Linked DNA regions of Sus scrofa. The protein of the gene in region 3 interacts with the protein of the main gene of each other region in a pairwise test. Links are inferred from orthologs where the notes say so. Each region holds a gene or a part of one and is shown on either strand. Other genes may lie near its edges.

Region 1 (3,145 bases), about 69 Mb from region 3:
ACGAGGTTTTATATGAAATTAATCCCTAACCCAACTCTAAAGCAAACCCTAATCTTGGCCAAACCTGATTTCTAGGACAACCACAAACCTTAACTGAAAGCATCCAACACTAAGAAAACCATACTCTTAATTCAGGCCTAACCTGAACTCAACTCCTGACCCAGCTTTTCTCTAAATCTAAACCTAATCCTATGGGCACTGTGCTTCCACATCAGCACTAATCCCACCCCTGAGCCAGCCTCGGGTGGGGTACAGAGGGCATGTATGTGGAGAGAGATGTAAAATTTTGTACATTTTAAAAAAGTGTGGAGAGTAAGGGTCCATGGCTTTCCTTAGGTTCTCAAAGAACTTTGTGAATCAAAAGAATGTTAGGAACCTCTGCCCTGATCCACCCTAACCTAGCCCAGTTCAAATCCCAATACCCTCAAGGAGTTGGTTTTTTGTTGTTTTTTGTTTTTTTTTTTTGTCTTTCTAGGGCTGCACCCATGGCACATGGAGGTTCCCAGGCTAGGGATCAAATTGGAGCTATAGCTGCTGGCCTACACCATTGCCATAGCAACACAGGGTCCAAACTGCATCTGCAACCTATACCACAGCTCATGGCAACGCCGGTTCCTTAACCCACTGAGCAAGGTCAGGGATCGAACCCGCATCCTCATGGTTCCTCGTTGGGTTCATTAACCACTGAGCCACGACAGGAACTCCCCCTCAAGGAGTTGTGACGATAATCCATCTTTAATCTAGCCCTAACGTTAACCTAGTCCTAACACCATTCTAGTGCCTAAGCCAGTGCTAACTCTGCCTAACATTGAGAACCCTGGCACAGACAGCCGGTGTTGCACCCTTCCCTACTAAAGCCCCCCCACCCCTCTGAACTTGCTCTTTCCCCACTCCTCCCAAGCGCCGGTGGCCGGTGGCCCACAGCTTCCTCTGCCCGCTGGGCTGCCCTGTTGAGGGATCAAGAGTTCTTGGTTTCAGGCCAGGCCCTGACCTTAGAGTAGGGCCTGGCTGTGCTCACTGCCTGGGACATCTGCTTACTGTCTGCTCGATCTCTGAAGCCTCCTCCCTGGGCATGCGGTCCAGGAAGTCATGGTAATGCTTCAGACCAATGGCCTGCTGGGTAGTCAGAGAGGCTTGGTTTCGGATATCTTCTAGGCTCCGGAAACCCTGAAAAAAGGAAGCCAGATGGGAAGGCTATGAGGATCCAGGACCAATGAGGAGGCAGTGTGTGCGCGCGCGCGTGTGCACACACACACACGAGGCTTCTATCACCCCCAGACTCTAAGAAAGGCCTGAAGCAGGACCAACCCAGGAGCTGGGTCTGTCATCAGTGGGACTTGGGAAAGGCAGGCGGCAGAGAAGACACACCCCAATCCAGCCAGGCCACAATCCTAAAACTGGCTCATGATTCCAGTGGGCTGGGGGTGATTCTGGGCATGGCTGGGTTTGGGAACCACTGATCTGGATACTCAGCCCTAAGGCCTGGTCTCCTCAGGAGAAACACACTTCTTGTCTCTGGCTACACTACAGATGAAGCCTCAAGGATAACAAGCAACAGGGCGGTTCTTGGAGCCAAGAGAGGGATCAGCATGAGCCCTGGCCCCTTTGAAAAGTGGTTTCCCTACAGTCCGGGTTCATTCTCATCAGAGCATAAGGGTAAGATAAGATATAGCGAAACTGAAGTGGGGGCTGGGACAGCATTTGACCTGATGGTACCACAGCTGGGCAGTCTTGGTTCCAGCTCCCCAGATGTTGGAGAAGAGCTGTAAGACAGGCACGCTTTCGCTGATGTGGTCGAGCTTCCTCAGGTGCCCACTCTCCAGAATCTCTAGGATCTTCTCAGCCATCCGCTTTCCAATCCCGGGTATAGCGCAGGCCTCCTAGAGGAAGAGGAGGCAGAGGCAGGAAGGAAGAGTGAGCAGATGGGCGGGTAGAGCCAGTGGGGGAAGCTGACTGCTTTAGCAGGTGTCCTGGATGGCTGGTAACAGGTAGCTGTGTAAAGCTTGGGTGCAGGTGAAGATAAAAAGTTTGGGCGGAGTGGGCTGGACTTGTCTGCTGGTTCCCAAAGGAACAGAGGTTAGCAGAGGCAGCAGAGGAAAGGCGGTAATGAGGGACCGAGTCACCATCACCATGGCAACAGTGGAGAGGACATTTACTGACACTTTACCCTGTATCAGAACCTGCACTACAGGGGTCATCTCATGGAGTCCTCATGGGAACAGGTGTTTCTACTATTCTTAGTCCCTTTTTACTGAGAAAACTGATGCTCAGAGGGTTTAAGTAACTTGTCTAGGAGTTCCCGTCATGGCTCAGTGGTTAACGAATCCGACTAGGAACCATGAGGTTGCACATTCAATCCCTGCCCTTGCTCAGTGGGTTGAGATTCTGGCATTGCCGTGAGCTGTGGTGTAGGCCGCAAACGCGGCTCTGAATTGGCCAGAGGCTACAGCTCCAATTCAACCCCTAGCCTGGGAACCTCCAAATGCCATGGGAGTGGCCCAAGAAAATGGCAAAAAAAAGGCAAAAAAAAAAAGAGTAACTTGTCTAAAGTCACATAGTTAGTGATTGATGGGAACCAGAATTCAAACTCTGGTGTGTTGGCCTCCAGAGTCTAAACTTTTAAAAAACTTTTTATTATGGAAAAAAATTCCAAAGTAGAGAGACTAGTATAATGGACCCCAAGTTCCCATCACCCAGCTTCTATAATTACCAAGATTTTGCCAATCTGCTTTCATTAAAATTCCTACTTTTTTCCTTTGTGCAAGTCTCAGAATCATAAAATCTTAACCACTCTACCTGATCCCTACTTGTGACTGGTGTCTCCACCAATCTCTGACCAGTAAAGAGAAGGACCCCTCCCCACCGCCCCACATAACCTTCCCTGGCCCCCAGGTACCTGGTAGGAGGTGACAGGCTTGTGGAAGCTCTTGAGGGCATTGATGGCTTTAGCATAGCCCAGGGCCCTCCACTTGTCTCCCTGAACACTGTAGGCTTTGGCCAGCACTTCCAGCTTCTCTGTGATGTGGGGGTTGTGGTTGGTCGCCTTCTGACTTGAAGGCTGTGCACAGACCCACTTATCCAGGCCCTTGGGGGCTGGGCTAGGCTCTCCATCTTCCTCAAGGGGGGTGGGGTAGCGGCCGCTGAT
Region 2 (4,061 bases), on a different chromosome or scaffold from region 3:
TTTCCATTAATGTGATCCAGGAAGTTGATAGAGTCTTTCACTACACAGTCACAGACATTGCAGTAATACCTAGAAAACAGAAAGAAACAGCACTCGGGTTGGTGGATTGTTGTAAGGATTTTGTCGCTTTTGACCAAGAAACATGTATTTTGAAATCAAAGTTCTTTTTAGAACAAAGAGGCCTCCACACCACAGCATGACAGAGCTAGGAAGCAGACCCTCTAGACCCACTTATACCTCAGATGAATGCAGACCTTTGAGGGCAACTTTGTGAGAAAGCCTGAGCCAGAACCACCTAAGTAAGTCCCAGATTCCTTACCCCCAGATATTGTGAGCTACCTGCTGTTTTACGCTGCTAAGTCTTGGGTTAATGTATTCATTTCTATAGCAGCAGATAACTAACACAAAGAGGAATGACAACAGCGGGTCTACTAAGCAGCTCAGAGAAGTGTCACACATTGCTATCTGTGTGATCCTCCTGCTGGAAAACCTAACTGGACAGAGAAGTAGTGGTGGGCCAAAGGAAGGAGAGTTCCTGTGGGAGCCTTCTTTCTAAAGCTTATAGTCTTGGTCTAATAGCAAGGTGCACAACCAGGAAATCCGTAACAACTACAACCTTTGCAGCTAGTTAGTCCACAACCTTAACCCCCTTTATCCACCATCAACAGCTCCTGGGCTTCATTCTAGCTTCACCTAATTCCTCCCCTAGACATCTCCTCAGTAGACCTTTCCTTCATGTCTTCCTCTGGCAGGAGAACAAACAATTCCCTTTAAGATATTAAGAAGTAGTTATAGTACTAATATAACAAAGCCTACAGAGTGACACCTCGTAGAGACACTATTATGTTAACTTGAGGCCTTGGAGAACAAAGCATGGAATGACAGAAAACAAGGTTATTATTCTGGGGCCAAGTATCCTGCTCAACACTTCCTGAAACCAACCTAGTTTTATGTGACTTACTCCTGGATGCAGAGATAAATGAAAAGCCACTTACCCTCCCATCTCAGACTGTGGGGTAGTCTTGGTAATGACAATTGTCTTCCCGAGCTTGGATTCCAGGTCCACCTTGTAATCTCTATGCCGGAGAAGCTCTCGCTTGACTGGCTGCACGGGCTTTCCTGGAATATAATGGGGAAGGAAGTCGCTTCATTATCAGAGATCCTTAGCCAGAAAGGAAAAGAAATGCATAAAATGCAAAATCCAGAAGTCTACCTTCATTTCTTTTTTGAAACCTGAAGCAAGGGACAAAAGAGTCCCTTCTAGCAGTAGCTACAGAGAATTTCAACACAGCAAAAATGATAAGCAATCCTTAACTCCCTACATCTTTTCTCCACTTTAAAGCCAACAAGTCTATGGCGTTCCCATCCTGGCTCAGCGGAAATGAATCTGACTAGTATCCATGAGGACGTAGGTTTGATCCCTGGCCTCAGTGGGTTAAGAATCCGGTGTTGCTGTGAGCTGTGGTGTAGGCCAGCAGCTATGGCTCGGACTCGACCCCTAGACTGGGAACCTTCATATGCTGCGAATGCTGCTAAAAAGACAAAAAAGAAAAGAAAAGCAAGACCACTCATTTAGTGTTTTCAGACAGATACCCCATGTGTAACACGGCAATCTTCTGAGAGCTGGGGAAGTTTTTTAAAGAAGAACTATTATCTAGGAAATATCTGCTATATGCCAAGTACTATTGCATGAGTTACATAAAAACCAAAAGTGCTGGAGTATGCAAGTAAAGCAAAAGAAAGTACAAGTCTGAAAACAGAAAAGAAAATAAGACCAACTCCCTGACAAAATGTAAGGCACAGAGAACAGCCGTAAGCACTAGATGAAACAATCAATCCCACGTTCCCCAGGTTAAGAATCCGGTGTTAAGAATCCCACGTTCAATAGCAGCAATACACAGCAGCAAAAACACTCCACTTAACTTCTTCTGAGGATCACTACTGAGGATTCCACTGTCTTCCCTGTACTTGAGGAAAGCACTAAATGAGCCAAGCAAAGGAAGGGCAAGGAAGCAGGGAACCGCAGAGCCGGAAAGCACCTCCAAACCATTTCAGTTCATCTCCTCACGCCTATCTTACTTTTCTACCTGAGGAGCCAGGGAGGCACTATTCTGCCGGAGGTTACACAGGAAAGGGGGCAGCGCGTTTCAACCCCCCACCGACTCGCTAACCATTGCTTCGCATCTGCAGTACACTTAGCACTTGATGGAACAGGCACCCACCATCCTTCTTTTCTCTCTCTTCTGTGAGCCTCTTCTCCGCAAGCTTCTCATATTCATCTTTGTCCCACTTTCGGCGAAAGTCCAAGTTTTTTGCCTGTGGGGGAAAAGGGGCTGAAGATTCGTCGCTAATCGTGTCCGACCCCTGGACAAACAGAAGAAACCGCTCCCCAGCCGCTAAGGCGGCCCCGGGACCTGGGAAGAGCGAAGCCTCTCCGGACAGCACCGGGAGGCTGAGGTTGCCTCAGGACCCCAACCCGAGACCTTCCCGCTTCCGATGACCCTGCGCCAGGGCCTTACGGGGGAGCTCTCAAACCAAGGCGGTTAGATCGCCAGGAGGTGTCGGGAAGCCAGGCGGGTGCGGGGTATTCAGCGCCGAAAAGCCGCCCCGCACCCCCCATCCCAAGCCTCCTCACACACAACACCTACCCCGCTACCCGACGCCATCTTCACAGCGAAGTGAATGGAAAGCCGGAAAATGCCGTAAAAAGCGGCCTTGCGCCGTAAGGCAAGCCCGCCCTCCAATAAGCTTAGAGTCTCGTGTTCTAAACGAGCTAAGGACTGGAGGATTTCTAAAACAAGATCGTCGGCCCCGCCCCTGCTCCAAGGAAATGGCGCATGCGCAAGGGGAGTATGAAGCAACGCGGAAGTAAGGGCGCCTGCGAGGGTTTTTCACCCTGGCTTTAAAAACAAGCACAGATTCAACCCTTCCATTTTACGTAAGAGGAAAATGAAGTTCAGATCAGCGCCCTCCGGTCTAGTCTAACCAACCTGCGTGCACTGCCAAGAGTTTCCAAACCTTCTTAAGGCTGAAGTTCTGTTATCAGGGGCTCTAGATGCCTCTTTACCTGTGTGCACTGAAGATAGGGCCCCAGAGCTCCTAAGAGTTTGCACAGGCTGTAGTCTTCCTAATGCACAAACTGAAAGCGCTGTTTGCATTTTGTCTCTTTATCTTGAAGCAATGCTATCACCCCTTGGTTAACTCATTTTTCCTTCAACTGAGAAACATCACAATTATTCAATCTACAGGGCACAATTTAATCAACACGATCGGACCTGGGAAGGCCAGTCATCAGCAACACTCTAGGGTGAAGAACTCTAGCAAATGTCACACTACACACTGACTTAGTGAGGTGACTGTATCTCACAGCTGCGGGGAGGAGGAAGCATGGCTGTTCCCTTCACCAAAAATAAAACATCACCCCAGGGACGTTCCTCTTAGCTCACTGCATCCTCCAGTGTGCACTCAAGCGTTTTCTATGGCCTATGCAAACAAATCCCTCGATAACAAATTACCCAAGCTTCTAGATTTAATATTTTATTTAATATATTATACAACCACTTCTAGAACAGCCACCTCCACGGCAGGACATGGACTAGTTAGAGCAGGCATAGGTAATGGTCTCCAAAGTCTCAAAAGATCAGATCTCCATCTTGTCAGGTCGCCTATTAAATTCAACATTCAAGATTATTAAACAGACGGCCTCACCCTGATTAACACTGGGTAGGCTAGAGAGACGTCATATTAATATGGGCACTGCTGGGCCCTTGGGCTAGCATCTCTGTCCTCAAACAAAACAGAGAGCAGTCATTGCCCCTTCTTGCTGTTTACCAAAAACTCCCTGGACAGGCCAAGACCACACAGTGGTCAAACTGCCCAGAATTTGGTTCAGAAGCGAAGAGTGGAAGGCTAAGACATGACTTCTGATCTCAGTGGTTCAGAATCGTCTCAACCTGAGGTGACTTTCCCAGAGACTTGTTCACAGCAACCATCTTATTAGCACATGTTGGCAGCGTTCAACGGCACTGCAAGTCTGCCATCTGCCTCTGCAGTTAGAGCAT
Region 3 (3,500 bases):
GTAGGTTTGATTGGTGAGATATTTTTCATAATGCTCTGTGACTGCCAGGTCATGCTCCCATCAGCTAAGCTTGCTTTATTACGTTTTCCTTCTTTTTCTATTAACTAAACTTTGATTTTTCTCCTTTTCAGGGTGGTAACTTTAAACCCAGTCAGAAAGGTTTTGCAGGAGGAACCAAGTCGTTCATGGATTTTGGCAGCTGGGAAAGACACACAAAAGGAATTGGACAGAAGCTGCTTCAGAAGATGGGCTATGTCCCTGGAAGGGGCCTTGGGAAGAATGCACAAGGTGTGGCAGTCCCACCCCACAGTCTTGCACTTGCTGTCAGGCAGAGGTGGGAAGAGCAGGGAGGGCAGTGGCCTCCTCTTTTCTGCTTTTTCACTGTTCGGAGGGCTGGGACCCTGCAGCCTGTTCTGCCAGCACAGATGCTGTGCTCTATGCTTCATGCTTTATCAGAACTCAAGTTACATAAAATACTTGTTTCGGCAGGAGGGAGAGGTTAGGGTTTAAATCAGGCTGACAGGCTGAGAACAGGCTTCTTTCTAGCCTGCCCGGTGTTTCTAAAAAATCAAACTGGTTGCCAATATTTAAAAAGCAGACAGTTTCACTTCCATTCTAGAGTTGCCTGGCAGTGACTGGTTTAGCTGAGTCCTTGCTGTCCCAGTCAGCACCCAAGGCCTTCTCCTGGAAGCTGCCTCCACACTCCCCTTTTACTCCAGCCCACTTTCCCTGTTCATATTAATGTTCCTGGACCCTAAAGGCATATGAGTTTGGACTCTTGCTCATGCGGGGGCAGGACAGGTAACTATTTTTTAGTTTTGCAAAAAGCCAGTTACCTGTCCTTCAGGAATATCAGTAAAACATCAGGTGTTGCCTTTTGTTTTACAACACTCACCAGTGGGATGTCATCAGTAGTATTCTCTGTAATTCAGATTCAGCCCCTAGGTATTATAAAGTTAGATATGGATTGTGGGTTGAAAACATCAGCCGTATGAAGAATCCATGGACTTGAGTGGCAATGGCATGGGAGTGAGGGAAGTGTGCTAATTGGGATTTCAACAGTACTAGCTGGAAGGGGCCTGGTAGGAAGTCTGGGGTGTGGCAGTTCTTCACTGAAATGCAGTCCTGTTTGTAAACTTTTACAAGAAAAATACTTATTTTCCAGGCTTAAACTTGTTATAGCTCATAGGAGATATGAACTCCTAAGTAAAATAGGTGGAGTTTCATATTAAATGGCAGCTTCACCTTACTTCAGTCAGAATCAATATAATATCTGAATTAATGGGCTTCCAAATGAGCAGAGTATAGAATCTAATTTGCCTGAGATCCCAGTTATAAAATATTCCTGTCCACTAAAAAAAAACCAACAAGTCCAAGTAGAAATGGAAGTCTGTATTTAGGATACAAACAATATCAGCACACTGTTTTGTGGCAGCACACACGCTCAGAAGCTTCTGGCCACACAGGAGCCAAACGGTGTCGTGAGGGCAGAAGCATGTTTCCTTCCTGGGTAGCATGTTACTGTGTGTGAGGACCAGGAGTGTGGTCTCCCTGAGTGGCTCACTCACAAGAACTGCTGTGATCTGAAGTCTGTCTTTTGCTGCAACTTGCCAGGTATCATTAACCCAATTGAAGCCAAGCAGAGAAAGGGGAAAGGCGCGGTGGGGGCGTATGGCTCAGAGCGCACCACCCAGTCCCTGCAGGACTTCCCCGTGGTTGACTCTGAGGAAGAAGCTGAGGAGGTGAGTCAGGAGATGGGCTGGATTCTGTCTCTGCCTCTTGGGACTGTTGTTTGCTCATTTGTTCACTCGGCCAGTGTTTAGAGGTCGCTTGCACAGCAGGTGCCAGACACTGCTGAAGGCTGGTGTCCTGCCGTGACCAGGCGTGGAGCCTGGTGGACAGGGAGCAGTAAAAAAGTAACCACGGTGTGGTTAGAAAGAGCAGTTGTGCCAGGAAGTACTCAGAAGAAAGTAGGTTGGCTATGTGGGGAAGGGGTCTGAGCCTCAGTATTTGTAAGGCAGGGAGTGGGCATCAAGCAGTGTCTTTGGATGGTCTTAGTGTTATGGAGGGACGGTGCTTAGCATGGTGTTCTGAAAGCCTCAGTGTCCCCACTTGCGGGAAAAAGTGGCCCTTTCTTGTTGTGATGGACTATGTTATATTCTTGATTCAGGAATTTCAGAAGGAGCTGAGCCAGTGGAGGAAAGACCCCAGCGGAAGCAAGAAGAAGCCCAAATACTCTTACAAGACAGTGGAAGAGTTAAAAGCCAAGGGCAGAATTAGCAAGAAGCTCTCTGCTCCCCAGAAAGAGATTTCTCAGGTCAAGGTATGGGGGGCCCATGGACACCTGGTCCAGGATGGAGGCTTGCAAGACACACACACAGTTAACCACAGCAGCATCAGTCACCCAACACTTGCTCATAAGGTTCCTGTGGGTCTTCTGGGCAGGCTTTCTTGTGTGTCCTGCTTTCTTGCGTGGCAGTAGCCTCTGCCCATTTCCTGCACTCCCATTTAGGCTCATTGTTGTTCCTACCCTGTGCCAGGTGCTCTTCACTACACTACAGTGCTAAATCCAGCACTCCAGCTCTGCAGCTTGCTGTCCGTGAATTCAGTGATGTTCGTGGTATTCTGTTGCTTCATCTTTAACTTTTGTGGTTTTGTTGAGAGCAGGTTAGCCTTATCTTTGTGGGGTTTTTTGTTTTGGTCTTTTGTCTTTTTAGGACCGCACCCACGGCATACGGAAGTTCCCAGGCTAGGGATCTAATTGGAGCTGTAACAGCTGGCCTACGCCAGAGCCACAGCAACACCAGATCGAGCCGCGTCTGCAACCTACACCACAGCTCACAGCAACGCTGGACCCTTAACCCATTGAGCGAGGCCAGGGATTGAACCTGCAACCTCATAGTTCCTAGTCACATTCATTTCTGCTGCGCCAAGATGGGAACTCCTGTTTTAGACTTTTTAAAATGATAGATTCCTAGAAGTACAGTCACCAGGTTAGAGAATAGGAAGGTTGCTCTCACTCACTGTGACCAGGAGTGGGCCCTCAGCCTTGAACTTAACATTAGACTTTTAGCCTCTGTTCTGTCCATGCAGTCTCTGCGTTCTCCCTCACTGTCCCAAGTAGCCAGAGAACTGTGGTGACAGGTATCTCTTGTAGTTTGTCGTAGGAGATTGTGTGTGTCATGGAACCCAAAGTCTGGAGTGGGGTTCTCAAAGGTCAAGGTGTTGTGTATCAGGTTATTTGGGGACCTGGTAGGAAATGCAGATATTTAAGATACAGCTGGAGGTTTTGCCTCAGAGATCTGGCTGGGCCCGAGGGCTCATGCTTGTTATCTTTCCCCAGGTGATGCTAACTTATATACTCTAAAGTGGTGGCGGTACTTCTGTTACTGTATAGACATGATCACATCTCCTCAGTCTTCTTCAGACATTGAAATTAGCTCATCTCCTTGGGTGCCTTTGTGGGTTTTGTATGTTTCATGTTATTTTAAAATTAAAAA
Region 4 (4,116 bases), on a different chromosome or scaffold from region 3:
TAATGTCACCTCTCACCCCAAACCCAGCAAATGGGCCAAGTCTGGGCTCTTGATGCACACAGACAACTGGGGATCTTAGAAAAGCTACTTATTCTCAATCATGAATACAGTCTCTTTTGTTCACTATTCATCATAAGCGCCTAGAATATCCGGACTGGCACAGAGAACGACAAACACTTGTCCTATGAATGAATGAAAAAGACTGCTGCGAAGATTAAATGCAGTAATGTAAGTGCTTAGGGAAGTGCCTGGCTTATAGTAAATTTTGTTATTATTCCACTGGTGACTCCAAGGGGCCCAGCCACCAAGAAGAAAGCTACAACTTCCCAAAGGGCAAGGCATTCCCTAGCCTAGAACTGCAGCTTTCAAAAATGTTTGACTGTGACTCACGACTTAAAAACACTTAAAATAGGGGTTTCCTGGTGGTTCAGTGATGTCTCTGCTGTGGCTCTGGTTACTGCTATGGCTTGAGTTTGATCCCTGGCCCAGGAACTTTTTCATGCCGTGGGTGCGGTCAAAAAAAAAAAAAAAAAAAAAAAGATTTAAAATAACAGTCCATACCCACATACAAATATGTAATCAATTGAAATAAAAGGTCACTATATTAGAATGTACCATGACAAAACTTAATTGACTGTCTATCTCTTTTAATCAACCAAAGAACTTAAGTCTGGTTTATTGTAGACCCAGCACCCTGTGCTTGGCATCCCATAGGTTTCTTTCTTTTTTTTTTTTTTTTTCTATTTCTTGGGCCACTTCCGCGGCATATGGAGATTCCCAGGCTAGGGGTCTAATCGGAGCCGTAGCCACCAGCCTACGCCAGAGCCACAGCAACGCCGGATCCGAGCCGTCTGCAACCTATACCACAGCTCACGGCAACGCCGGATCATTAACCCACTGAGCAAGGGCAGGGACTGAACCCGCAACCCCATGGTTCCTAGTCGGATTCATTAACCACTGCGCCACGACGGGAACTCCCCATAGGTTTCTTTTCTTTACTTTTTTTTTTTTTTTTTCTCTCTCTTTACAGCCGCACCTGTGGCATGTGGAAGTTCCTGGGCCGGAGGTCAAATCAAAGCTGCAGCTGAGGCCTATGCCAAAGCCATGGCAACACCAGCTGCATCTGTGACCGACACTGCATCTTACAGCAATGCTGGATCCTTAACCCCCCGAGTGAGGCCAGGGATTGAACTCACATCCTCACAGAGACAACACTGGGTCCTTAATCCACTGAGTCACAACAGGAACTCTCCTATAGGCTGTTAATAAAATTTTTTTTAAACAAATGAATACCAAGAAGGCACTCATCTTTGACAGTCTCCTATTAGTTAACAGCACAGACTCTATACACTAGAACCTTCTTTTGTCCTGGTCAAGGAAAGGCCATAAGTTCCCTGTCTCTCCTCTATCCTCAATTACCTATAACTCGAAGCCAGAGAGTCTAACACTAGGCATAACGAGAGCTTAGAGGGGTACCACTCCTGGCACAGACACACCAATGTACAGCAGAACAAAGTAGTGGTTAAGAGCTCCGGCCTTGGTGTCAGATACACTTGGATGAGAATCCCAGCTTTACCATTTACTAATTGCAGGACCACAGGCAATCTGCTTGGGCCTCAGCTGCCTCACCGGAAAAATGAGATTAAGTGAGGTTAAGTCATAGAGGTGCAGAAAAGATTTTACGGATAATGGACGTAAAACCCTCAGCTCTGGCACCCACTAAGTTTATAGTACAGCTCTTTGCTGCTTTTTACCAAAGAAAAACTTACAGAGGAGGGCTAATAAGCTTTCTCCACTGTTTTTCTGTTCTGCTTTGGTAACTTTTACGAAGTCCACCATTGCCACCCCTAGCCTGACAAAAGAAATGTCAGAAAGTGGCTTTTTGACAGAGGTCCCATTGCAACAGATGAAAAGCACGTAAGGTTGACACATCCCCAAATACAAAGCTCTCAAGTAAGGAGAAAAACATCCTTCTAACTGATCCTAGTTTTCTAAACACCTAGCTTTAAAATCTTTCCACCAAGAACAGAGCCACTAAACCTCTTACAGCCTCTCCTCTAGCTTGTCCAGGACAATGTCACCAGCCGCCAGCTGCTTGCGTCTCAGCCGCTCCTGTAAGTCTGGGAAGGCCCGAAGTGCCGGCACATCTTCAAATCGCAGATTTTGTGCGGCCTGCAGCTGCTCTGCCAGGTTACTGAGGGAGGCCAGGAGCGGCGGGCAGTCCTTAAGAACGCTCTGCCACAGGCCTTGCTGCTCCTCCACCACGAGAAAGCACTTCCTTAGGGCCTCCTGCACGGCAAGCAAAGGCCCAACTTGAGTCATCTTCTGTGGGAGGAAAAAAAAAAAAAAGACACAGCCCTAGAGTCCCAAGTCGGTAGGGGAAGTACCAAGTCGGTAGGAGTTATTTCCGTTCTCAAGTGAGGTCCAGCTAACCCAGGGTTTCCTCAGGTAGCTGTCTATCCCTCCCGACGGGAGTTTCTAGAGTGAGGGGTTGTCTTACCTTTACACAGGCTCTCGGAAGGCAGGACCCTTATTTCCCACCTCGGGAAAGATTTCTTGACTATTCCTCGCAGGAGGCTCATCCGGCTTCGGGTAGTTTTCTGTTTCAGACTGTGGGTTTCCCGGGCCGTCTCGAGTTTCCTGAACCCGAACCTTGTCTCCTCTCCATGAAGTTACGGCTCGCCTTCCCTAAACCAGCGGCAAAAGTTAAAGCTAAGGCAGTTAAAGTCTGAGGACCTCTCTAGGCCCTCAAGAGCCTTAGGGACTCTCTTTGCGCATGCCCCAACGTGGCTACAGAGTCGCGAAAATATGCCGTCAAACTGCAATGACTTCTGGGTGCTGTAGTCCTGCGTGTGAATTGACTGGCCGATCGCAGAGCGTCCCTGCGATTGGCTGTTGTGGGACCCTCTAAGACGGCGGCTTCTCATTGGTCAGCTTGTGGCAGTTTGAATTTGGTGGCGGCGGTCGCACGTCCGGTTAGTCCCGGAGCCGCTCCCTCTCAGCTGAAGCAGCCAGGGTTTTCTCAGCCCCTATTACCGGGGCCCACAGGTGAGTGCCTCGCGAATCGTTTATGCTCATGCCGGGAAGGGCAGGGGTCCCCTTCCAACCCCCCTGGGGTGTCCTCCGCCCTCTCCTGCTCCTTCGCGGCCCCCTTTCCCTCCCTTTCTCCGCCGCTGACACCCTTTGGCTTGGCCCCTCTCTCCCCGCAGTCTCCAGCGAAGTGCCATGGCTCCGGCTAGGAAAGGCGGCAGTCGGGTGGCCAAGAACAACTCGCTACGGAGCCGAAAGCTCGCTTCCTTTCTTAAAGACTTCGACCGTGAAGGTAAGGGGCGGAGCCCGGGAGGTCGCTGGCATCTGGGACAATCGCGGGGTGCTGGCGGGTTGGGGCGCAGGCCGCACGGATTCCAGGCCCCGTTTGCCCACTGGTGACCCACGTCTTGTCCGCTCTGCCCTCTTGCAGTGCAAATACGATCCAAGCAAATTCAGTCAGACAGGCAGAACCTCCTCAAGGAGATGGATAACCTGTACAACATCGAGATCCTGCGACTCCCCAAGGCACTGCGCGAGATGAACTGGCTCGAGTACTTCGGTAAGAGCTGCTAGAGTTTCCCCAGGCCTCGACCTGGAGCCCTTCTGTGGTTCCAATGACAGCCTTCATCTTCATCCTGAAGTCGTCCAAGATCCCTGTAGGAAACTGCAACCTTACCCATCCCCACTCTGTCTCACTGCCTTGCTTTATTTTTCTCCTTTGCTTTTAACCTCATCTACTTGTGCAGGTAGGCAAACAAACATTTTCTCTACAGAATCGGGTAGTAAATATTTTAGGCTTTATGGGCCAAATGGTTCTCATTGAAAACTACTCATCTCTGCTGTGATAGTTCCGAAACAGCTGTAATGAATGGGCACAGCTGTATTCCAATAAACATGTATTTATGGACATACTAAAATGTGGATTCACATTATAAGATTTTTTTTTTTTGATCCAACCATTTAAAAACAAACAAATGAATAACTTGGTCTGTTACCAGAGCTCAGGTGGAAGGATAACCCCAAGCAGGTCCTTCTGCTTATGGAAATTGCCAGTTTTAAAATGGGCAGATCAGGGAGTTCCCACTG
Region 5 (3,500 bases), on a different chromosome or scaffold from region 3:
TGGGATATTTCAGAAGAAAAACACAAGTCTTGGTTCCTGAACGATGCTGGAAATGACAGAGCAGTCCCAAATGACTTAAAAGTAATTTAGTTTCGAGGATCTGGTAGATGATGACGTTTAATAAACAACAAAAGAAGGCATGTTTTGAAGAGGTTAAAAACAGGAAGGGGGAAATATATTCTCCTCTAATTTTACGTCTTTTTTTATTTTTATTTTTTTTGTTGCCATTTCTTGGGCCGCTCCTGCAGCATATGGAGGTTCCCAGGCTAGGGGTTGAATTGGAGCTGTAGCTGCCGGCCTACACCACAGCCACAGCAACGCAGGATCCGAGCCGCATCTGCGACCTACACCACAGCTCACGACAATGCCGGATCCTTAACCCACTAAGCAAGGCCAGGGATCGAACCGGCAACCCCATGATTCCTAGTCGGATTTGTTAACCACTGAGCCACGACTGGAACTCCTCTCCTCTAATTTTAAATGGAAGACACAATTAAGAGGTTTTATCAGTGAGCAAACACATGCAAAACCCACATCTATTTTGTTAGGCTCTATTACCTCTGCTGTTGCTTTCCGGATAGGCAAATGTAGGCTTATTTGGGGAGCGTCGTAGATCACTGTTAAGGAAAGGCTTATCGGGTGGATATACTACATATGGAGATGAGGAATGGCGAACCATACTTCCACTAGATTTGATGGTTCTGCTAAGATGTTCTGAAAAATAAAAATACAGAAATTATCTTTTCAAAAATTTAAACCACAAATAGCATGTTCATGACTAAGAATTGGACTGTCCTATGTTCCACTGATAGTGACAACAGAAAAAATAGAATCCAATGACCATACACAACAGAATCAATCACTACTTAAAAATAATAAAGCTTTTAAAGTGTTATAAGTCTAAATACAACCATATGCCAAACACCATAAATAGGAAATAATATTCACACAACTTGAACACATGTTGCACAGATACTTAAATATAGTACTCACAAAGGACTTAATATAGTTTCTTTAAAAAATATGTACTTTAAGATATAAATTTGGAAAAGAAAATATTTTTTATAGTATCAAAAACTGGTACAAAGCAACTGAATTAATCTATCCCCAATCAACTAAATACTTTCTGAAAATCTATATACTTTCTGTAAATCTATCAAAGTCCAAAACTCTGTGATAAACGGAAAGAAAATAAGGCAGAACACTGTCTCAAAGATTTTACATTCAGTTGGGGAAAAGAAGAGGGAAGCCATTAGAAACATTGAAGTTTATCAAACATCTAAACATAAAACTCTATTTCCACACATACACCAGTGTGTCATTTGTCATTCTCTTCAATTTGGGATTATGTTCCACATGACAATTTCGAGTGCAGGGGATGCTAACTGGGGAGTTTTGTTTGTTATAGGTGACTTCTTATTGGTAGAAAGAGGTTGAGTGGGAAAAGCTCAGATGGAAGATAGGGCTGCTAGCTGCTCAAAACTCTCAGACATCCATTCTTATTCAAATAGCCACAGGAAACTAGGTTCTCAACTCTTACCTTTGGCTAACTATGACTATAAAGCACAATAATCTATGTCCAAAAGTACAAAGGAACAATGAATATTTACAATACAGTAAATGGCCTCCTGGAATAAACAAAGGTCATCAAAATAACTGTACTGTATCTGAATCTTATTAAAAACTGGAGATTGTACTGCCATCTTAAAATTCACGCAATTTTCCAGTTGACTTAAGAAAACAAATTGAAAAACAAAACAACACACTATGGCTGTGGAAACTTAAGAAAGCAAATTGAAAAACAAAACAACACACTATGGCTGTGGAAACTAAGACAGCAAAGACCTTGGAAGGGGTAGTAAAATCTCAAAGTGGTACTTAATGCTACTCTACTGTGAAAGGGTGGTCACAAGCAACAACAACTAAGAGTTGGCATTTTTTTAAACTTTTGGGCAAAATGACATCAAGTTTTGGAGGCGGCTGGAAAACAGGGTGTTTTCAATTCTTAAAATACATAATACTGCCAAGGCTCTTGCAAAATACCATGAATAATCACATAGCTTAACTTTAAATACCATTTTCACAGAGAACCTTATGCCTCCATACAACCTACTAGAATCCTATCATTTATAACAACTACTATTCAAAGAACAATGGTTAGGAAACATTTAACATATAATGAAGATAAACCATGAGCAAATTCACTTATGACTTTCTTTTCCTAATTAATTTACTTTTTTTCTTTTTTGGCTTCACCCATAGCACATGGAAGTTCCTGGGCCAGGGATCGACTCCAAGCCACAACTGGGGCAATGCTAGATCTTTAACCCACTGCACCACAGAGGAATGCTGTCACTTTATGATTTTCAAAACAAATTTTATTAGTATTACCAAATACTGCACAAATATTAACAGAAGAACTGTGCATAAATAATCTGCCAAAAACCAAACCAAAACAAAATGAGAACAAACCACTTTTGTTAAATTCACTGCCTCCTGGCTCTTGTAAAATTTTTTAACAGTTCAAGATTTGCCCTTCAACTTGTCACACATATTTCATCAAAATCCTGCTCGATTTGGCTTCCTAGCAAATAACAAATTGCACAAATGTCATAGGAAGGCAGTGAAGAAAATGTAAATATTGACTTGAGACTGCTATCCTTAGAAAGGTCTGCCAGCAAGGTTGGTTCCAGGCAGGTTATCTCAGAACTTGAATTTTGGGAAGGTTCCGAATACTGTCATCATAAGAGCCAGGGGTCACCAAGACCAGCCCTGGACTCAGTGATTTGCTAGAAAAACTGGCAACCTCGACATAGAGTTATACTTATGGCTACTATCTATTACAGCAAGGGATACAGAGCAAAATCAGAGAGAGGAAAAACTGTAAAAGATCAGGCACTTCCACAATTCCTTTCCAGGTGGAGTCATACAGGAGGATGTGCTTAATTCCTCCAGCAACCTAACAGTGACAGGTCTGTCAATGGCATCTACCAACGAAGCTCACGAGACTCAGTGGTCAAGGTTTTTATTGGAGGCTGGTCATATTCCTGACTCCGAGAAGGAAGGCAGGTGTTCAACATTGTTTGTATAAACAGTTTTAAGTGCAGTGAACCACTCTTTTATCACTTACTGTTAAAGTTCTATATCAGTATAGGAAAATATCACTCAAGTTCACAGATGCCAACCAAGAGCTAACTTTGTAAACATCTCTTTCTAAAAGTAGCAGTCATCTGAGATTATGGAAGAGTTCAAGAGAATTCTTGCCTTCAATGCTATATGCCATCCAATCATGGTACTTGAGAACTATGGTAGGACAAAGGATACTTTAAGCAGAACGTTTATGCTCTCTCCTCTCATATGAGTATTAAAAACAACAATCCATAAACTCAAACTCCCAAAAGACTTTACAATCTACACTTTCATCAGCTGGGTTGATCCTCATGACAATCCTGACAGGTAACTGACAAGTGAGAAAGTATCTCCATTTTATAGCTCAGGAA
Region 6 (4,189 bases), on a different chromosome or scaffold from region 3:
GCTGTCTCCTTGTCCCCTGGTGAGAGTTTTACCCTCTGATTCATTTGTAGGAAATGCTAGTGATTAATATCATTCATCTGTGACTTGGATTCTCCTCAATTACTGAGGATTCACCAACACTGGTCTCCAGCTCAGACTCTCTCCCAATCTCCAGACTCCAGGTAACGGATGGCTCCATGCCCCAGCTGAGCTCCCCAACCTGGAAATCTCTCCGTCTGTGGCCCCCTTTCCACCCCCTGCCCCCTGCCCAGGCTTAGGCCTTCTTCCCTGAAAACTCACCAAATTCTACAGTTCTCTGGCCATGCCACATGGCTTCACGCCCCCGGGCCTTTGCACATGCTGTGTGCTCAGCTTGCAATGGCCTTCGCCTGACATTCTCCGCACCTGAGGCCTTCCTGCCTCCAACGAGCTTTCCTGATGCTGCAGCCCAGCTGTGTCCTCACTCCCATCTGACTCTGCCTCCTCATCCCTCAAGCCGTGGTGAAACTCCACTGTCCACTGCATCTCATGCTCAGATTGCAACACCAATCTCTGGCCCCAAGGTCCCCACCTCCAGGTCTCCTCTCCCTCTCCCAAGGAGCTCTCACAGCCTGGCCTCCACCTGTCTGCAGAGCTTGGATCCTCAAAGACTGGCCGAGATCTGGCCGCTGGACCTTGCACCTTCTGCATTGCTTCCTCGACTACAATCTCTCCCACCTCCTTCAATTAGCAAACTCCCAGGACTCAGGGCAGCACCTCCCCCAGGAAGCCCTCCATGACTGCCACCGGGCATAGCTAGGGCCTCTTCTGTGCTACCATCTTTGTATCTGGGTCTGCTTCACCAGCAGGGCAGCCACACTCTGACTCATCAAATACCATGGGAAGTTCACCAGAAATGTTTGCTGAAGGACAGAATCACTGTCCTTTCGTAGGTGTCCCTCCCCCTCTCCTCTGTCTTTTTTTTTTTTTTTTTTTTTTTCTTTTTTGTCTTTTGCCTTTTCTAGGGCTGCTCCTGCGGCCTATGGAGGTTCCCAGGCTAGGGGTCCAATCGGAGCTGTAGCCACCGGCCTACACCACAGCCACAGCAACGCGGGGTCCGAGCCGTGTCTGCGACCTACACCACAGCTCACGGCAATGCCGGATCCTTAACCCACGGAGCAAGGCCAGGGATGGAACCTGCCACCTCATGGTTCCTAGTCGGATTCATTAACCACTGCGCCACGACGGGAACTCCTCCTCCCGTCTTTTTTTGCACCCTGTCTCTGAAGGCAGGGGCTAGATCTAAGAGACCCCACCCCCAGCCCTAGGATCTCACCTTGGCTTGGGGCGCTCCTCTTCTGTTGGGGGGGGGGATACAAAGACACAATTAGCAAGAGTTTGTGGGCGTGGGAGGACGCGACACACCCAAAGGTGGGCCCTCCTCGCCCCCCCAAGACTTGGTCCCCAGGCCCAGTTCCCTTGTCCTGCAGCCCTGGGGGAGGGGTATGGCGGGGGTAAAAGAGGAGAAGGGAAATCGGGGTGGCCGTAAAGGGAGGGAGGGGTCACACGCATCAGATATACATTCAGAACCGGTGTGGGGATTCCCCCCCTCCACTCGCTTCGCTGGGAAACCAGGCTTCCAAACCCCCCACCCTCCTTCTGCAGACCCAGAGCTCCTGCCCTCCTCCCCAAGCCCTCTGTTCACTCGGGGACCCTGGAGTTGTGTCCCCAGCCACCTCCCCCTTGGGGACACAGGAATCCAGACCCCCACTGCTACCCCCTTCTGCAACCCAGGCCCCAACCTTTGAATGTATATGGGGGAGAAAAATAACAGGCGAAGATGAGAGGGGAGGAGGGGTGCCTCTCCGCAAACATCCAACCCTTCTATAAGTATTCCTCCAGTCTGGGGAAGAAGGCTTGGGTGTCGGTCCCTTTAAGAAGGAAGGGAACGGGTTAAAGCCGCTGCGAGGCTATTTCCCTTCGTGGCCACCAGAGGGCGCGCGGGCTCTCCGGGGCTTAAAGGACCGGGTCCGGGGCGGGTTATGGGGGCGGGGAGGGAGTTCTCGTGGAGGTCAGGGCCCAGAGGACACCCCGCAATTGGTCTCAGGAAGCGAAGCAGCCGCGGTTACCTCGCTCTGCCACCGGCTCTGGCTCCTCGGGGGCTGGGGAGGGGGCAGGAGGAGAAGCGAGGGTTTGGGGAGCCAGGGGAGGGGAGCGGCCAGGCCCGGATGCAGGGGGGGAGAGAGGGGAGAGAGGGGAGAGGCTGTTAAAGGAACTGAGGCCGAGAACCCCGAAAGCCCCGCGCCCCGCCCGGCCTGCACCCCTGGACCAGCGGGCCCCCCACCCACCCGCCTGTCCCCCACCCCCCCAGACCTGCGTCCAGCTCCAGACCTGCGGAGTCCGGGGCCTCACCTTCCTCCTCCTCAGCAGCCTCCTCTTCTGGAAGGGGTCGGGGAGAGAGAAGAGGGGTTAGGGGCCCAGGGGGACCCGGGGTGGAAGGGCTTTCAGAGAGGGGACCCAGTGGGTGAGGGGGCAGAGACCCAGGTTCGGGCTCGAGTCTCAGCTGGGCGGGGCGGGGGGGGGGACCCGTCAGCCTCAGCGGCCGCCGGGCACGATGGGCTTTTCCCTCCCAGGAGGATGGGCGTCGGGCCGGTCGGGCGGGGTGGGCCGAAGTGCACTCACCTTCAGGCTGCTCCCTGAGGACCCGGGCGGGGAGAAAAGAGGGAGGGGGAGAGTTAGGCGCCTCGGAGGCGGAGGGGGTCTCCCCCGCTCCGAGCCCCCAGCCCTCCCGCCAGCATCACTCACTCCTCATATTCCTGCTCTTCGGCGTCAGACATCCTGGCGTGACCTAGAGAGGCAGAGAACGGGGGTCCAAACGAGGGACTCGGGATCCCCGACCTGGGGTCCCGACGCCCGGGTCTGAGGGACGAGGGGCTGGGGGCTGGATCCTGGGTCTGACGGGGGGGGGGGGGGCTGGGGCTGGACCCCTGGGTCTGGAGGAGGAGGGGCTGGGGCAGGACTCCAGGGTCTGAGGGAGGAGGGGCTGGGACCTGGACCCCTGGGTCCAAGGGAGGAGGAGCTGGGGGCTGGATCCTGGGTCTGAGGCCGGGGGCCTGGGGCTGGACCCCCGGGTCTGAGGGAGGAGGAGCTGGGGGCTGGACCCCTGGGTCTGAGGGAGAAGGGGCTGGGGCAGGACCCCTGGGTCTGAGGGAGAAGGGGCTGGGGCAGGACCCCTGGGTCTGAGGGAGAAGGGGCTGGGACAGGACCCCTGGGTCTGGGGGAGGAGGAGCTGGGGGCCCTCAACTCCCAAAGATTCCTAAACCGCGGATGAAGACAGGGCTTGGGAAGGTATGGCCCCACCAACCCCAAAGCCACAGGCCCCACCCCCTCACCACAGCTGCCCTCTTTTGTCTTATGACAAGTCCTTTGGAACCTGATCTGAGGAGGGATTAGGGGAAGGTATTTGGGGAAGACACAGTGGCCTGAAGACAATAGCTGCCCCACCCCCAAGGGCTATTTTGGGGGGATGTCGTGGAGGGTGACACAGAGGACATCTAAAAAGTATTCTAGGAGGAGGGGTTCTGGGAGAATTCATCATACCCACTCCCCTCTGCCACCCTTGTCCCCTCCCCTTTGGCTGGTTATCAGTCACCTTCACCCACAGCTGTGGAGGGGACAGGACACACAAGAGCAGCTTCTGTCCCCAGACCTCATCCTGACCCCTAAATACTAAGACTCCCCCAAATCTGAGGTCCCCAAATCTTAATACCCACAGATCCCAATTTAGGAATTCTGAAGATGGCTAAGTCCTCATATCTCCGGATTCTGACACCCCAACTGTTGATACTCCAGATTATGGGCCTGGCCACCCTAAAACCTTGACCCCCTCAGTCTTGAATCCTTAAATTTGGGAACCTTAAGCTTATGAGACCCCAAAACCTGGATGCCCAGACTCAGGGGCCCGATTCCTGATACCCCAAAATATGACTCCACAAATTCTAATACCTCCAATCATAAGATTTCAGATCCTGAGACCTCAATTCCTAAACCTCCAGATTCTGAGGCACTGCCCGCACCCTGGTCCTGACACCCAGACTGTCTGCCAGCCGAGCCCAGAGGTTCCCAATTTCTTTTCTTACTCCTTCTTGAATTATTATTTAATTTTATTGGAATAGAGTTGATTTATGAAGATTCCCAATTTCTGACATACCCTCAGAGCACCGAGGTCTGA
Region 7 (3,500 bases), on a different chromosome or scaffold from region 3:
TTACACCACGCTCAGGACCACGCCCAGGACCAGGCTACCTGCTAAGGGCTAAGCAGAGGCCAGTGGGTGCAGGTCATAGGACCAGTTACACCTTGCAGGGTGTGGTTATTCCTCTAGGCCTCGAGAAAAGTCACCCGCCTATTTCAGTACAGGTGAGCCAAGAGAGCAGTAAAAATGCTGGCTTTCCTTTCAGACGGGGGAACAGGGAGCCTAGTGAACTGATTCTCTAGAAGTCCTTGTAAAAGGAACACACCCCAATCGGCTATCCGAGAGGCTATAAGCTTTTAGTGATTTTTATCCATGATTTTTCATGTTCCCCTAACTAAAAGAAGCGTGAGAAGTTTGGTCAAGGAAGACATGGCAGCCAGAGGGCTCTTGCCACTTTGTAGGAGAAACACAGCCAGAGAAGAGCAGAAATCAGTCCAGAGTCAGGACCCAGGAGTCATGAGTCCCAGTGTGACGTCATCTCCTCCTCAGTTGTCAGCCCCCACATACGGGACGCTGTGCTATTTCTGCCCCCTCGTCCAGGGAGATGGTCATTTTTCTGCCCATCTCCTGACCCCTCCCCTTTGCCTCCCTCTTGGCCCTTGGCAGACCCGCGCAGCTATTCCAGGAACGGGAAGCCAACACAACAGGTGCTCAGGAGGTCATCATGCTCAGCCCAGACCCCAGGCCTGCCCCTGGCTTGGCCCGGTGGGCTGAGAGCTACGAGGCCAAGTGCGAGCGCCGGCAGGAGACCCGTGAGAGCCGCCGCCGCCGCCCCAACGTGACCACTTGCCGCCAGGTGGGGAAGGCGCTGAGGACCCAGCAGAGGGAGCAGTTCCAGAAAGCACGACAGCAGCAGTTTTTCAGACTGAGGCACCTGGAGGTGGAGGAGAAAGGCCAGGCAGAGCGCTCGCAGACCAGGCAGCCAGGTTCCTCCAGGGCAGGACAGGCACCTGACCTCAAGGAGCCCTGGCCTTGGGCCAACAGGATCTCTTCCCCTGGACAGCAGGTGGGCCGTGTCGATGGACATACTGCTCTGGAGGGGGTAGGGTGGGCTACTGAGGCAGTGGGTGGGCTCCAGGTCACTAAAAAGTGATTTAAATTGAGTCCCTTCTTCCTCAGTCATAAGTAAGTCTCCCTTAGGCACTTATTCAGATATTTCTGTGGTTGGGTTTTTTTGGTTGAATGTTTGTTTGTTTTTGTTTTGTTTTAAACTTGCTTTTTTAGGAGAAGAAAAAAAAATTTTTTTTTTTTTTTTTTGGTCATTTTGCCATTTTTTAGGCCACTTCCGCGGCATATGGAGGTACCTAGGCTAGGGGTCAAATTGGAGCTGCAGCCGCCGGCCTACACCACAGCCGCAGCAACCAGGGATCCGAGCCATGTCTGTGACCTACACCACAGCTCACGGCAATGCCGGATCCTTAACCCACTGAGCAAGGCCAGGGATCGAACCCGCAACCTCATGGTTCCTAGTCGGATTCGTTTACTACTGAACCGTGACGGGAACTCCAGGAGAAGAAAAATTTTTTAAACAACCCCATTGCTAATTCCTAGTATCAGTTCAAGTCTAGTCTGTCTCAACAAATCTAGTGCATTCAATCAGCCATTGTTCCACAGGTCTTACTGTGGGCCAGGTACACAGGCCCGTCTTCTTGCTGCTCCCTGGAAACACATGCACACAACCACACTCACACACAATCACAGATACAACCACCCCCACACACGAACACACACACACACAACCACCCCCCCCACACACACACACACTCCTCCTCTCCATTTCTCTGTAAGGCTGTTGCACCACCACCGTCTCGCTTTGGCGTGGGCCATATATCAATTCTACTAAATTCATTCATTTAAAGCCACATCTGGTCCAGAAAGCCCCAGCTTCCTATGCTTCTCCAGGCCACCTCTGCTCTCTGCGGTCCTTATGAGGTTATAAATCTTCTAAGATTGTGTGACTCTTAGAGGGCCCAACAGTCTGGCCTGAAGAGGAGCCGTGTTGGCAAAAATCAGGGTATGCTGAAATGAGCTCAGCCAGCAAACCATCGGTGTCCTCCTCTCCATGCTGGGAGCACACAGACGGCAGGGCGGGGTCCCAGATCGCTGGAGGTGCCTCGTATTGCGCTGCACCCAGAGCAGGTGCCCGTCAGGCCCTCTTAACCAGTGCCTCTGCTCTCCAAAACTGTAAAATAAAACCAACTGTGCACTTTCTAAGGCAGGAAGGTTTCAGAATGCTTTGTTGAAAAAATAATTTTAGGGAGAAAAACAACAGAAATCACAGTTACCTAAAGAACTCCTCCTGGGCCGATCAGGCATTTAAGGTTTCTTTTTTTCTTTTTTCTCACAGCCTCACAGAGACAACACCAAGTCCTTAACTCACTGAGTCACAATGGGAACTGCTGTCGTTTAAGGTTTCTTGAGATTGAGTTAGTCTTCAAAGTTAGTTGCCACAGGCATTTCTTACTTAGCCTTTGTCGTGGCGCGGCGGAAACGAATCCAACTAGGAACCATGAGGTTTCGGGTCAATCCCTGGCCTCGATCAGTGGGTTAAGGATCCAGCGTTGCCGTGAGCTGTGGTGTAAGTCGCAGATGTGGCTCGGATCGGTGTTGCTGTGGCTGTGGTGTCGGCCGGCAGCTGTAGCTCTGATTAGACCCCTAGCCTGGGGACCTCCATATGCTGCGGGTGCGGCCCTAAAAAGACAAAACAAGACAAAACAAACAAACAAAAAATATACATATGTATGTATGTTACAAACAGAATTGTCGAGTTCATAGGAAGAAAATGACCAAAGAGCAGAGTAAAACCGTGCCAGCTCCTCCCACACCCTCCCCCGGCTGCTCCCTTTCCCTGCTCTTCACACAAAAGCTCGGCACTGTTCCAGCCCTTTCTGAGAGGAGGGAGCCATCTCTGGAGGGCGGAGGGCACTTTGGAGGTCATCTCCTCCCAGCTCCGCACTGGACAGGAGACCGAGACCCAGAAAAGGCAGGCCTGATCCCGGGCCCTCCGGCCCCCTCTGACCAGCTCTTGCCACGGGCCACGCCAGCGGCTGAGAGCGGCTAAGGTAGAGGGGGGTCGAGAGAGAGAGAGAGAGAGAGAGAGAGAGAGAGAGAGAGAGAGCGGCCAACCCAGCCCCCCGCTGCCCATTCCCACCCTCCAGGACAGGGGAGGCAGGGCGGGGACCAGCTCAGAGCTGCGAGGGGGTCCTTTGGTGTTCTGGACCCAGCGCTTGGTCGCTGGGTCAGCTTTCTGCAGTCACATGCAGAATCCTGTCCCGGAGGCCCTGCCTAGGCTTTCAGCCTCCCCCACTTGCTTCCCAGGTGTCCGGGACCAGCGCCGAGGTCTTTCCAGCCCAGCGGCATCCTCCCTCGGGCGCCCGGAGAGACTCTGCCGTCCAGAAGCTGCCCAAACAGCACCGCGGTAAGAGCAGCGCCCTGTCCCTCGCTGGGGCCTGCAGAGATCTGGCCTCAGAGTCCCAGCTCGCTGGCAGCGGAGAGTCCCTGCCCTCAGCACT

The links.
Region 1: the proteins of TFIP11 (region 3) and POLL interact in binary tests that used the Homo sapiens proteins (3 or more experiments, as listed by UniProt). The two-hybrid records come from large-scale screens. The link is inferred for Sus scrofa from reciprocal best matches to the Homo sapiens genes TFIP11 and POLL.
Region 2: the proteins of TFIP11 (region 3) and ZMAT2 interact in binary tests that used the Homo sapiens proteins (3 or more experiments, as listed by UniProt). The two-hybrid records come from large-scale screens. The link is inferred for Sus scrofa from reciprocal best matches to the Homo sapiens genes TFIP11 and ZMAT2.
Region 4: the proteins of TFIP11 (region 3) and C6H1orf109 interact in binary tests that used the Homo sapiens proteins (3 or more experiments, as listed by UniProt). The two-hybrid records come from large-scale screens. The link is inferred for Sus scrofa from reciprocal best matches to the Homo sapiens genes TFIP11 and AIRIM.
Region 5: the proteins of TFIP11 (region 3) and CEP57 interact in binary tests that used the Homo sapiens proteins (3 or more experiments, as listed by UniProt). The two-hybrid records come from large-scale screens. The link is inferred for Sus scrofa from reciprocal best matches to the Homo sapiens genes TFIP11 and CEP57.
Region 6: the proteins of TFIP11 (region 3) and TNNT1 interact in binary tests that used the Homo sapiens proteins (3 or more experiments, as listed by UniProt). The two-hybrid records come from large-scale screens. The link is inferred for Sus scrofa from reciprocal best matches to the Homo sapiens genes TFIP11 and TNNT1.
Region 7: the proteins of TFIP11 (region 3) and TRAF3IP3 interact in binary tests that used the Homo sapiens proteins (3 or more experiments, as listed by UniProt). The two-hybrid records come from large-scale screens. The link is inferred for Sus scrofa from reciprocal best matches to the Homo sapiens genes TFIP11 and TRAF3IP3.

Annotation. Positions count from the first base shown.
Region 1 is NC_010456.5:112,611,204-112,614,348, forward strand, and holds part of POLL (DNA polymerase lambda), read right to left. Parts: coding exon 2,897-3,145; intron 1,881-2,896; coding exon 1,707-1,880; intron 1,168-1,706; coding exon 1,039-1,167; intron 1-1,038.
Region 2 is NC_010444.4:142,409,709-142,413,769, reverse strand, and holds the start of ZMAT2 (zinc finger matrin-type protein 2), read right to left. Parts: upstream 2,801-4,061; 5' UTR 2,667-2,800; coding exon 2,649-2,666; intron 2,317-2,648; coding exon 2,223-2,316; intron 1,120-2,222; coding exon 996-1,119; intron 70-995; coding exon 1-69. UniProt on the Homo sapiens protein: Involved in pre-mRNA splicing as a component of the spliceosome.
Region 3 is NC_010456.5:44,102,709-44,106,208, reverse strand, and holds part of TFIP11 (tuftelin-interacting protein 11), read left to right. Parts: intron 1-131; coding exon 132-288; intron 289-1,614; coding exon 1,615-1,742; intron 1,743-2,170; coding exon 2,171-2,323; intron 2,324-3,500. UniProt on the Homo sapiens protein: Involved in pre-mRNA splicing, specifically in spliceosome disassembly during late-stage splicing events. Intron turnover seems to proceed through reactions in two lariat-intron associated complexes termed Intron Large (IL) and Intron Small (IS).
Region 4 is NC_010448.4:93,747,797-93,751,912, forward strand, and holds the start of C6H1orf109 (uncharacterized protein C1orf109 homolog), read right to left. Parts: upstream 2,801-4,116; 5' UTR 2,501-2,800; intron 2,326-2,500; 5' UTR 2,323-2,325; coding exon 2,048-2,322; intron 1-2,047. Other genes in the region: CDCA8 (borealin), read left to right, coding at 3,226-3,322, 3,461-3,589. UniProt on the Homo sapiens protein: Part of the 55LCC heterohexameric ATPase complex which is chromatin-associated and promotes replisome proteostasis to maintain replication fork progression and genome stability.
Region 5 is NC_010451.4:27,819,570-27,823,069, reverse strand, and holds part of CEP57 (centrosomal protein of 57 kDa), read right to left. Parts: intron 715-3,500; coding exon 559-714; intron 1-558. UniProt on the Homo sapiens protein: Centrosomal protein which may be required for microtubule attachment to centrosomes. May act by forming ring-like structures around microtubules. Mediates nuclear translocation and mitogenic activity of the internalized growth factor FGF2, but that of FGF1.
Region 6 is NC_010448.4:59,360,811-59,364,999, forward strand, and holds the start of TNNT1 (troponin T, slow skeletal muscle), read right to left. Parts: upstream 2,801-4,189; 5' UTR 2,796-2,800; coding exon 2,764-2,795; intron 2,655-2,763; coding exon 2,641-2,654; intron 2,398-2,640; coding exon 2,371-2,397; coding exon of another isoform or gene 2,326-2,370; exon of another isoform or gene 2,121-2,325; coding exon 2,088-2,120; exon of another isoform or gene 1,531-2,087; coding exon of another isoform or gene 1,317-1,530; coding exon 1,295-1,316; intron 1-1,294. UniProt on the Homo sapiens protein: Troponin T is the tropomyosin-binding subunit of troponin, the thin filament regulatory complex which confers calcium-sensitivity to striated muscle actomyosin ATPase activity.
Region 7 is NC_010451.4:133,207,709-133,211,208, reverse strand, and holds part of TRAF3IP3 (TRAF3-interacting JNK-activating modulator), read left to right. Parts: intron 1-594; 5' UTR 595-652; coding exon 653-994; intron 995-2,893; exon of another isoform or gene 2,894-3,050; intron 3,051-3,306; coding exon 3,307-3,406; intron 3,407-3,500. UniProt on the Homo sapiens protein: Adapter protein that plays essential roles in both innate and adaptive immunity. Plays a crucial role in the regulation of thymocyte development.